3 linked regions of the Rattus norvegicus genome follow. The protein of the gene in region 3 purifies or fractionates together with the protein of the main gene of each other region. This does not show direct contact. Links are inferred from orthologs where the notes say so. Each region holds a gene or a part of one and is shown on either strand. Other genes may lie near its edges. The genes, in order: Ap2b1, Reps1 and Aak1.

Region 1 (4,320 bases), on a different chromosome or scaffold from region 3:
CATCAAAAGGGAGGAGGAAAAAAAAAAAAGGAAAAAAAAAAAGCAGGTAAATATATCACTCATTTAACTGACACCATAGTCAATAATTGTGATGAAATAATTGCCATCATACAGGCAGAAAAACAAGGCATCCAGTCTATCCTTAAGGCGGGGGCAGAGGTGTGGGGGATAAGGGAGAATGAAAACAGTCTAAACAAAAGCACTGTAGAAAGAAAGGGTTGGGGGGGCTGGGGGAGCAGCCTAGACTTAAACACATTATATATTTGTATGAATTTTAAGTATTTAATTAAAATGAGAAAGAGTGGTAGTGACAGAACCTTAATGTCCCTGTGACTCTCAACTCACAATTCATATAACTATTTTTTAATAAAGACCCTCCCAAACACTTGCCAAATATTCAGTCAAATTCTCCAGTATAGGGTGTAAAACTGGTGCCCACAGTAGAAACCACACACACACACAAAGCCACAATAGAACTGGAAAAATACAACTTCAACTTGCCTAGTGCTTCAAAATTCAAAATCCTACTGGGGCAAAATTTTTCAGGAAATCCCTAGAAATAAGCAAGCCACAATGGAATTTGAACTTACACCACCTTATACAACATGAAACCTGAAAGGTCACTGACTGACTTAAGGTGTGGCCTAGGGACATTGTTAAAGGACAGAGCAGCCACCAGGCAAAGCAGTAATCCTTGAACTTGTCCTAGCCCACAGTATTGCTTCACTGCCTTTCACAGTACAAGGGTATAGATCTAGATTAACATAACCTAGTTTCTGCCAAATATAGGTTGTCAACGTCCTTTCTCTCCTCCCAGCCTTCCCCTCCTCCAATTTCCCCAAAGAGCAACTCAACAGCAAACCAAGATTAACAGGCTGGGTAGAATACAGTCAGAAACAAATTAGTAAGGTCTTAATTTCAAGTAGTTGTCTGGGAAATGGCAGCCAACGTTAGCACTGGCAAGGCCACTATGCCCTTCTTTGCACATGAAGTCAATAACTAGCCAGAGTTCAGTAAACTGCAAAGCATTAGTGACATTCCAGGAACCTCTGCTTATAAGGATGAGTGGTATGAAGACCATTTCTGGCTAAAATGTTCATAACACCAGGACAATAGCAGCTTCAGATTAATTAGCTTATCAGAAATAAAACATTTAAAAGCTAAATCCACCTCTGGCTTCTATTTAAACAACTACAAGTTAATTCATTAATATAGTATTATGCGTAAAGAAAGAAGCCCAACAGTTTTACACCCAACTGTTATGAAATTCCAAGACATTTGGGGAAACCTAAGCCTAGGAGGAAAGAAGAAAAATGGGGATGATGTCCTCTGAATGCTCCCTGTCTGACTTGGTTCAAATGTGTGCCTTAAGAGGAAAGCAATGACCTTTTACAGGGGAAGGGGATGTGAGGGACTTCTCTGAGTCTTATTTTCTCAGAATGTTTACTTTGTATTAATTTACCACTCAACTTTAGGGAGCTTTTTTGCAGAGCACACTCCCCTTTATTTCTCAGGGAGTCTCCCCTGCAAGACACCTACTCTGCTCTCATTTTACATGTCCGCCCGCCTCACTTAGTCATCCCGGGAATGTGTTACTGGTGGCTGCACCTACTTCACCTGCCGCTTTCTATTAATACCTTGTAAGTGCACCCTGAGGCTGAGCAGTAGAACTACACAAGGAAAGCAGGTGATAATTTAGATTGTTCCTCTCTGAGACCACCTTCTTTTCAGTTAACTTGCCTTGCTGTGCTTATAGTGTGTCCTTTGTCTTTTAAACCACAAAGGTCACAAAAGAGTTTGGCCATTTTAAAAAAATAATCTCCCTTCTAAATGATAAAAAAAAAAAAAAATTCAGCGAAGCATCCATGACAGATTCATACTGCTTCATACCTAAACTGCTTGAGTTTAATAAGAGCCTTCCTCTAAACAGGGCTGCTCAAAATACTAATACATCCTGAGAATTCAAAGAATAAAGAAATGGCAGGAAATTCCAGTTTTTTCACTTCTAGTAGACTTTTACAGCCTTGCCCAAACTAGACTGCTCCTAATAACCCCGGGGAATAAAGGGAGCTAAAAAAAGAAAAACAATTCCAGGCTAAGATTTACTTTCACTGGCTTCCCCCTCTCACACAGGAGGTCAATTACGCAAGTTTCTCCTTCCTTTCTCGAAGAACATTATTTAGTCCCCTATTCTCTTTACCCACTTCCCTCCGCAGGTCAAGACCCGGTCAAGAAAACTGTCCAGGATAAGGAGAGATGCCTCCGAATACGGGTGACAACGGAGGTTTCAGTGACCAAACGGTCGCGGGAATCCTTTCTCCCTAGGCGTGCTGGACGGACACGTCCAAGCTTCTTTCTCAATGAACAGATGCCAAACGGGAAATCTAGGTGGTTCTCCCTGGGCCTCCAGCGGCCACACCCCTGGCCTGAGCCCTACCCAAGCCGGTCTTCCGAACCTTGCTTCGTTTTGAAGCCCCCAACTATCGCTGCTACACCGGAGCTCAGCCCCAACCCACCACGGTCACTACGAAAGAGGTACTTTCTCCAAGCTTTTCCCTCACAACGGTCACACCCGAGGACTCCCTCCATCCTCAACCGTCACGCTCCCCGTTTCTCCTTTCCTCCTGCGCCTACGACCCGGCTTGGGGTTCCCTTCCTTCACAACTACCCCCAGTCAGGGACACACCCCAAAGCCAGCCGCCTTGAACTCACCGGAGGCAAGGGCGGGGTGGCGGCGGCAGTCAGAGAGCACAGCCGGGAAGGTGGTGTAATGGTTTCCTGCCCGTCACGATTCTCTCTAGATCTAAGACACTGCGCAAAACCCAATTTGCCAGGGACAAAGATGGTGGGCCGGAAGTTTTGGCGTAAGAGAATCTCGCCGCCTGACGTCATCCGGGTGCGCGGGAGAACCAAACAGCCAAGTTGTGTCTGTCGCCTCAGCAACGGAAAGGTTTACCTTTCTCAGGGTTAGGGCAGACTAAGGAAACCCGCAGTGGCTTTTCCAAAGGATATCTTCAATACGTAGATATTTTCTTGATTTATTTCCATGAACAAGAATTTTGTTAAACCTGTGTGAGATATCCTATATGCTTAAACACAAACCTCGGCTAATTTGCATGTAAGGTTCAGAAGCCCATAGAGGTGATAGAAACCAGAAGTACAGGTGGGCAGCTGAACTAGGAGTTAGCGACTCAAAGATGCTAAGAAGTATTCAGATCTGAGTTTGAATCCCTACGTTGTACAAGACTGGAGAAACTTATTAGCGCCCCCTTCCTGCCTCGCCCGTAGGCTTGCGTGGTATAAGGTACCCAAAACACTTAGTGGATACAGGTTTCTTTAGGAAACTAAACTGGTACTACTGGTGTTTAAAAAGAAAAACCAGCATTGGGCTGTGTATCTCAAGCAAGCCTGAAACTAAGCCCCTCTTGCTTCTGCCTCTAGAGCACTTTGAACTTCTCTATCTATATATATACCTTGACAGTAAGGCTTAGTGGTTCTCCTACCCAGGCTTCCCTCACTCTACTATTGAACATCTTTAATGTGCATTGGTGTTTTGCCTGCGTGTATGTATGTGAGAGTGTTCGGTCCCCTGGAACTGGAATCTCAGACAGCTGTGAGCTGCCATGTGGGAGCTGATAACTAAACCCAGGTCCTTTGAAAGAGCAGCCAGTGATCTTAACCACTGAACCATCTCTCCAGCCCCCAGATTTGAAACTTAAAACTCACGGCAGGGCTGGAGAGAATGGCTCAGTGGTTAAAAGCACTGGTTGCTCTTGCAGAGGTCTTCAGTTCAATTCCCAGCAACCACATGGTGGCTCACAACCATCTGTAATGAGATCTGATGCCCTCTTCTGGTGTCTGAAGACAGCTACAGTGTACTTCTATACATAAAATAAATAAATTGTTATATATTAAAAAAAAACAAAAACAAAAAAAAAAAAACAAGGTAACCAGGTGTGGTGGCATAAGCCTTTAACCTCAGCACTCAGGAGGCAGAGGTAGGTGAATCTTTGTGAGTTCAAGGATAGCCTGGTCTACAATATGAATTGGAGAGTCAGGGCTACACAAAGAAACCCTGTCTTTGAAAAACAAAACAAAGGGTTGGGGATTTAGCTCAGTGGTAGAGCACTTGCCTAGCAAACACAAGGGTTAGGTCCTCAGCTCCGGGGGAAAAAAAAAAGAAGAAAAGAAAAGAAAAACAAAACGGGCTGGAGAGATGGCTCAGAGGTCAAAAGCACTGTCTCTTCTTCCAGAGGTCCTGAGTTCAAATCCCAGCAACCACTTGGTAGCTTACAACCATCTGTAATGAGATCTGGTGCC
Region 2 (3,649 bases), on a different chromosome or scaffold from region 3:
GCACTCTTCACACAGAAAGAGAAACGATTAGCAAAGACAGGGTCGGAATCTGACCAAGGAAACAGTACTGTGGAGGAAAGTGACTGCAAGTGCTTCTGGGTGACATCCCATTGTCTAGGTGAGGATGAGAAAGACAGACTACGTAGTTCTTAGATGCCTAATGTGATCGTACAGTAAACGTACAGTACTTAGGAGCTAAAGCCAGCCATAACTGCCCTCCTGAAGAATCACCTTCGTCACCATATGTGAAAGAGAGCTTGCACAGGAGCACTGAGACGATGGGCAGCTGTACACATAGGCTCACTGGGAACGTAACAGCCAGTACCTTTTATTCACTTGGAATTTAAGAAAAACATATGTATACTCAACACTTATAGACTCTTTCCATTTACAGAAAGCTACCAGTAAATATAGATCATATTATCATACATAAATAGTATTATCTAAAATCAAATTCCAAATTTCCAGATTTTGTAGTCATTGAAAAAAACATTATAAAGGTCTAATAATGAAACAGATTACTCCCCTCAAGATACTAAGACATATTAAGTAGAAAACATTTATGACTGACACCATAACCTACTTTCGACAATACAGCATGCATTTAGGATAGTAAAATACTAAGTACCACTGAGAATTCTCACTCTGAGTCTGACGCAGGCCCTGTGGGTAATAAGGAAAGCTTTTCTTTCTGTCTCCTCTTTTCATTTTAACTTGGGACAAGGTCAATGCTATAAACCTAGGTGGGAACTTTCAGAAATCGTCCTGTCTCTGCCTTCCAGGTGCTGGCATTCCAAGGGGGATACACCATGCCCAGTCCCATGTACCACTATTAAAGCTGATACCTAATGGCCCAAATTCAGTGTCTACCCAACTAGCCACAGCAAGTCTGCACACCTTTCTCTCTCTCTCTCTCTCTCTCTCTCTCTCTCTCTCTCTCTCTCTCTATCATTTATCTATCATCTATCGTCCATCTATCATCTTATCTATCTATCATCTATCTGTCTACCTATCATCCATCCATCCATCTATCAATCATCTATTTATCTATCAATCATCTATCTACCTACCGACCTATTATCTATCTATCTATCTATCTATCTATCTATCTATCTATCATCCATTATCTATTTATCTATCTATCAATCATCTATCTATCTCTATCTATTTATCTATCTATCTACCTACCTATCATCCATCCATCCATCCATCCATCCATCCATCCATCCATCCATCCATCATCTATCTATTATTGAAACAGAGTTTATCCTGAAGTCCTGTCCAGTCTGGAACTTGCTCTGTAGACCAGTCAGAGACCTGTCTGCCTTAGCCTCCCAAGTGGTAGATAAAAGGCGTTCATCTCTATGCCTGGTCAAATCTGTGCACTTACTAAAACGCTTTAAGCTACTAAACTGACTTCCTTCTCAGAATGAAGTACCATGTTCACTGAAGCTCATAGTCAGCTCTTGGTGGCCACCAACCTCACCTGCTGAGTCTTCCAAGTCAATCAGCTTGGGCATCAGGCTTTCGGGGAGTTTCTCTGGTAGGTCATAGCCATTTTTTCTAGCAACTACCAGATGAAAAGCAGCACAGAACTCATCCAGTGTCAACGCGCCATCTTTGTCGAAGTCTGAGAGCTCCCTGGAAGACAAATGCATCATCACCACATTTTGCTTTGGAGCCTCTTATTTATCAAAAAAGAAGACAAAATATTTCTCACACAAGAAAAAAATTTTAAAAATCATTAATTTTAAAAACCCCACATGGGCAAAGAGGTGTAACAAAGCAAATATGTCAAAATTATAACGAAGAATCAATGTGAGAGACAACTGAGCCCTCCTGGTATGATCCTTTCAACATCTTATTATTTTTGACTGGAAAACTAGCCTCCAAAATTAAAGTCATCAAAATATTATCTTTAATTTGATGCATTTTTATTAATAGAGCTTATTTAGTTGAAGTATATAAAATAAACATATGGAACTTATTTAAAATTCTGTTTTTATTATCAAAGTTCAACACTTTCAGACTTTAAGAAAATAAATTGACTAAAGTTTAATAGGAAAATACAGCCTCTGTCCTGCTGTCCTTGTCCCCTATACCGAATCCATGTGTATATGTGTTTTATTTTTGAGACAGTCTCACTATACAGCTTAAACTCACAATCCTCTCATCTCCACCTCCCGAAAGCTGAGATTCCAAAGCCTCTACCACTCTGCCCGGCCTTAGAAAAGAGTAATGGTACAAGGTAGAAACAGTGTTTAGGAGGCGGTCCACTTTTGAAAGTAACCTGCAGTTATAAGCTGTGTTCCATGAACTAATTACAACTCTGTGGCGGCTACTGCGAGAGTCTTAGTCTACGTATGACGTGAGAGCTAAGCCTTGTGCTTACTTTTTTTGGCTAGATATAAACTTGATGACAACTAGGAGAAATGACACAGGCAAAGTAACAGCCTTTTCTTGCAGTCCACTAGCAGCAGGAGAAACAGAGCTCCAGTGTCAGCTCACAGCGATTTCCCTAACTGGCCTAGGAAGAGAGGCTCAGTCTTCGGCCCTACTGGGTTCTCCACCAGCACCCACAGAGGTCAAGTCCAATCCTAGTTTTAAGGTTCTGAAAGTTTTAGGGTGCCAGAAATTCTTTTGAAACAACCAACATGGACCAACTAATAATATACTACACTTACCAAATATGAGAAAGTTCAAGAATAGGAAGTTTCGATTTTGTAAAAAACTCTTTAGCTGCAGACCCTGAAATATTAAAACAGTTTTGTTTAGTGCTATTCTAAACACACAAATCCAAGAACATCATCTTAGGCTGGGAAATATAACATTATGTATAATGTTAAAAAAGTCATGCTTTATTTCCCGGTGACTATAAAGTCCTTTGAGACAAGTCACGTGAGTAATAACTAAAATGGAGGATCAACAAAGCAATGTCTATCTGTCGATAATGACACTGACACTGTGTCCCAGCCCATCCAGAAGACCTTCTGTTCTCAACGACTCACCTGGAATAAATCCGTTCAGATCAGGCTGAATGGTTTTAAACTGATTTACATAATACTGTCTTTGTTCATCTGTTATTTTCCAGGGATCATCGTAACTACTGGATTGCCTACGGATTTCATTGGCAGTTGTGGCTGAGGCTACAGTTCGTACTGTTGTCTGGTCCTGCAATGAAACAGTTTTCCTCAGTCCAGGATCCATCTATGCGCTTACATGGACCGAGATCGCTAGGTTACTTTTCCTTGAAAGTAAACTTGTGTTTTTTGAGGATATTTAAAAGGTAAGAAGTCAGCAAACCACACATTGTTATGATCAGGTTATTGGATATGGTTTTGCAAGGTGAGTATATAAACATGTAGAATGACTGCATTTATGTAAGCAACAGAAAGTTATGAAAAATGTGCTAAGAAAGCCAAGCAAATATATTCCCAGATGTAGAAATCTTCGAACACTTTACTAGGGAAACAGAAAGGAAATCAGCTAAAACACAGTGGAACATTCCGTGGACAACAGACTTGAAGAGACGCCACAGAGCAGAGCTCTGATTTTTTTAGTAAGAGTGAACTTGCATTTGTAAAACCTCTGACAGCAAAATATAAAAACAATGACTGCAGTGATCCTTAGAACGAAGCAAACAAAAATG
Region 3 (3,649 bases):
CTACAAACCCATCTTTTCTACAGAAATGGACAGTTTGAACACTTTATTAACAAAGACTTTTGATAAGGGAAGTCCCCAGGAGCTGTTCAACTCTTCTGCTCAGGGATACATGTGGGTCCAAAAAGAAAGACTTTACCTTTATGAGTGGAAGCAGAGAGTGCTATGGGGGCAAACTCGTCCAGAAGGTCAGCAGTAGGGTTAGAAAGCAGAGAACAGTCAAGGAGAGAGTCTTCCCCCGTGAGAGAGTCTGAGTCCAGTTACCAGCATTCCAGGCAACGATGGCATTAAACAGCACACAACAATATTGTGAGGTTAGAGCTTGACTTTCAAATTATTGCATTTACAGGCCATATATACAAGCCAAGATACAGAAAGAAAATCAAAAGAAACATGTTAAGTTCTCTGGACTTTTAAGCACAAAAACATGTATGTATCCTAGATTCCATTTGGCAGTAACACATACGTATAGATTTTTAGCTTAGAAACTGTTCGTTAAACAATAAACGAGTCTGTGATTCAAACACACTTCTCGGTAGACACTGTTTGGAGAAAGGACTTTGAGGCTAGAGTCTCACTTAACTTTTCCACTCAGGAATCACACTGACGTGCTAACACTGGTTCCCCTTTGAAATGCCTCTTGCTACTTTCTTTCAGTAAAGAGTTGGGGAAAACCCAGAGATAAAACATTGGAGTGTTTCCTGGAGAAACATCCAAGTGAGGAACAGGAGAGGCCCAGCTTTGATTACCATCACATAAGGGGCACCAGCAGACAGTCTTATATCAAAGCATGAGGACTCAGACAAGACTGAAAGACTCAAAGCAATACTGGGTCCAAGGATGATTTCAATGTTTCCTGCAAGCTAAAGAAGAGTCAACTCTAGAGGATGAAGCTCTGATGTGGGAAAGAATTGTCAACAGGAAGGGCTGAGCTCCACAGAACCAATGCTGAGGACATGCCGAGGCAGCCATTTGTCTGCGCAGACTCCTGCTAAGAAGGCAGAGGAACCTGCTCCCAGTGGAGACAGTCTTTTTTCCCCTTTCTGGTACTGAGGATTGACTAGACCTAGGACTCTGTGCATGCTCTGCAAGCACTCTGTCACTGAGCTATATCCTCAGCTCTGGGCAAAGGGTAATGAATAGCAAATTCTGTAATCAGGGAGTCATTCTAAAGAAAAATATGGCTCCAGCTCTCTTGCTTTCTTGCTCTTAATCTGTCCTTTCGTCTCCCCCCCCCTGCCCCTCCCTCTCCTATCCTCTCAACTCCCTTCCCCATGCCCCGAATAGACTCTATTCCATACAAAAGAAAGAAAGAAAAAAAGAAAAACATGGCTCCAAAAAGTATTCAGTTCATAAGCACAAGGATATACTCTATATCCAGAAGCAAGACTGTAAGAATAATTCATAACATCCACTATAAAACCAACGAGAATGCAAATAAACAGAGGTTCATCTGCCACAGGTGGGAAGCCCTGCTCTGAGGCTCCTGCACTGACCAGCTCTGCAGCTCCCTGACTGACCTGTGCGGTTTGAAGTCACAGATTCCGTGTGAGATGGGAGGCGCTGGGCAACAGGTGGCTCCAGCCCAGGTATGAGACTCTCAACAGCAGCATCAGCTTTTTCTTTTGTACCAGGGCATGAACAGTGGAGAGGAAGGGATGAGAGAAGGAAGAAGTCAGAGGCTGCTCAGGAAAACCTGGGAAGGCTCACTTCCACAAGTCTCGGGCCAGATGCAAAGCACAGCCTGTGCACCTATTCCTGCTGCATTTGGATGGCTGAGCATGCGTGCACAAGGTTAACCATCAGGAGTGTACGCTGATCACTGGCCCCTACAAATAACTTTGGGATACAAGCTACTTTCAAGCAACACGTTCTTCCATGTCAGAAAAGACTGGCTTCAAGACAGGCAATAGTGACTCACACCTGTACCAATAACTATGGAGGCTGAGACAGGAGGATTGCCATGAGTTTGAGGCCAGCCTGGCTATATACAGTTGGCTTCAAAAAGCCAACAACAATCAAAACAGCTTCATTCATCATTAGTTTCAGCAATCCCCCCCCCCCACTCCTTGAGCCAAACCTGGAATAAACATCCTCTAATCTAATGCACAGTTCTCAAATTTCCCCCACTTGACCCTATGATGTAGGAGGGAAGGGCTCTGCATATCACAATGCAGAGATGAAGACAACTTTCTGTGAGGTAATGGCATTCCTAAGTGCTAGCACTAAAGTCTAAGGGCTAAGTCCTTCAAGAGTTCAGGTTTAGGTAACTGAGTAAGCAGGCCAGGCAACTGCCCTGTTTATCAGACATCCTGGTATGGGTAGTGTTCCAAGCTTTGGCCTTCTAAAGACGAATCAGCTCAAGTCTATTAAATCGGTGAAGTTCCAAAGACCAGTTAGAAATCAACTGTTTCACAAAGGTTTTCTTCCACAGATTCTTCCTTACTCATGAAATTTACTGGAGAAATCACAGAACATCAGTGATGACCAGAGATACAGGTTGTGTGCATGGAAAACGGGAAAAGTCACTTCTTTTGGAGTAGCAGGAAGGGAGTTAACAGTCTGGACTGCTGTATTCCCACTATGCACAAAGGCTACAGAGGTCTTGGTCACCTCTGCCCTCCACCCCCAATCCCCATGCCAGAGCTTCTCCCAACCCCCATAGCAGGCATGACTGAAGAAATAGACCGTGTTTTACCAATCACAGCATCGGAAGTGCTGCCAAAAGGATCTGTCATAGGCAAGAGGTCAGGGAGCAGAAGAGAAGTGTCAGGAGATTTGAGTCCCTCGATTAGTTTTTCTGGGTTGGGAGAGAGGTAAAGAAAAGGGGAAATGCAATGAGATTATAGAGCAACCGCAACGTTTACTGCTTTCCATGACAACGGCTTAGGGGCCCGCACTTTAAACATTCACCATAAAAACAAAGACCATCAGGATCTTGTTAACAGTATGCTTTTCAAGGGGCAGCAAGCTTGGTTCAGTGGGTAAAGGTGTTTGCCACCATGCATGAAAAACTGAGTTCAATTCCAGGGACCTCACCAGTGCAAGAAGAGAACAAATTCCTATAAGCGATTCTCTGACTTCCACACATGTACTCACACACATACAACACAAAATAAATGTTAACCAATAAGTGTAATTTTCAAAATTGTGTATCCTTCAAAAGACTTTCCAAAATGAGAAGGTAAAAAAGTTACTTCCCCAGGTAAACTTGAACTCAAGGTGAGGTCATTGGGTCTGTTTATCCCTTGTTTTCATTTGAGGCATAATTTACATGATAACCATAACCAATTTTAAATGTGTAGAACATGGTGAATGTTGACAAGCTTATACGTTCAAGTAATCACCATTAAAGCGATGATACGGACTGTTTCCAACATTTTCAAACTCCTGTACCCCATACAATAAATGCTTCCTTTTTATCACAGGCACTAGCAATATAGGCCTGGGTTTTATCTATTTAGTTTTGCCTTTTTTAGATTCCCAACACTGATCCCTTTTAAAAAATACATGTAGGCAATAATGACACTGACCTTCTAATGCTCCTGCCTCCACCTCCTTAGTGCTGGGACGACAGGCATTATATGTTGCTGAAGACTGAACCCAGAACCTTGAATGTGCTAAGTAAACATTCTACCAAGCAAGCTAAATT

Evidence for each region.
Region 1: the proteins of Aak1 (region 3) and Ap2b1 purify together in Homo sapiens (affinity purification with mass spectrometry; 4 studies listed by BioGRID and IntAct, with this or other methods). This does not show direct contact. The link is inferred for Rattus norvegicus from reciprocal best matches to the Homo sapiens genes AAK1 and AP2B1.
Region 2: the proteins of Aak1 (region 3) and Reps1 purify together in Homo sapiens (affinity purification with mass spectrometry; 3 studies listed by BioGRID and IntAct, counting the BioPlex papers as one, with this or other methods). This does not show direct contact. The link is inferred for Rattus norvegicus from reciprocal best matches to the Homo sapiens genes AAK1 and REPS1.

Annotation. Positions count from the first base shown.
Region 1 is NC_086028.1:68,599,232-68,603,551, reverse strand, and holds the start of Ap2b1 (AP-2 complex subunit beta), read right to left. Parts: upstream 2,830-4,320; 5' UTR 2,713-2,829; intron 2,661-2,712; exon of another isoform or gene 2,517-2,660; intron 2,319-2,516; exon of another isoform or gene 2,205-2,318; intron 1-2,204. UniProt on the Homo sapiens protein: Component of the adaptor protein complex 2 (AP-2). Adaptor protein complexes function in protein transport via transport vesicles in different membrane traffic pathways.
Region 2 is NC_086019.1:14,562,472-14,566,120, reverse strand, and holds part of Reps1 (ralBP1-associated Eps domain-containing protein 1), read right to left. Parts: intron 3,172-3,649; coding exon 3,009-3,171; intron 2,749-3,008; coding exon 2,685-2,748; intron 1,642-2,684; coding exon 1,487-1,641; intron 1-1,486. UniProt on the Homo sapiens protein: May coordinate the cellular actions of activated EGF receptors and Ral-GTPases.
Region 3 is NC_086022.1:120,987,419-120,991,067, reverse strand, and holds part of Aak1 (AP2-associated protein kinase 1), read right to left. Parts: intron 2,798-3,649; coding exon 2,696-2,797; intron 1,620-2,695; coding exon 1,518-1,619; intron 248-1,517; coding exon 137-247; intron 1-136.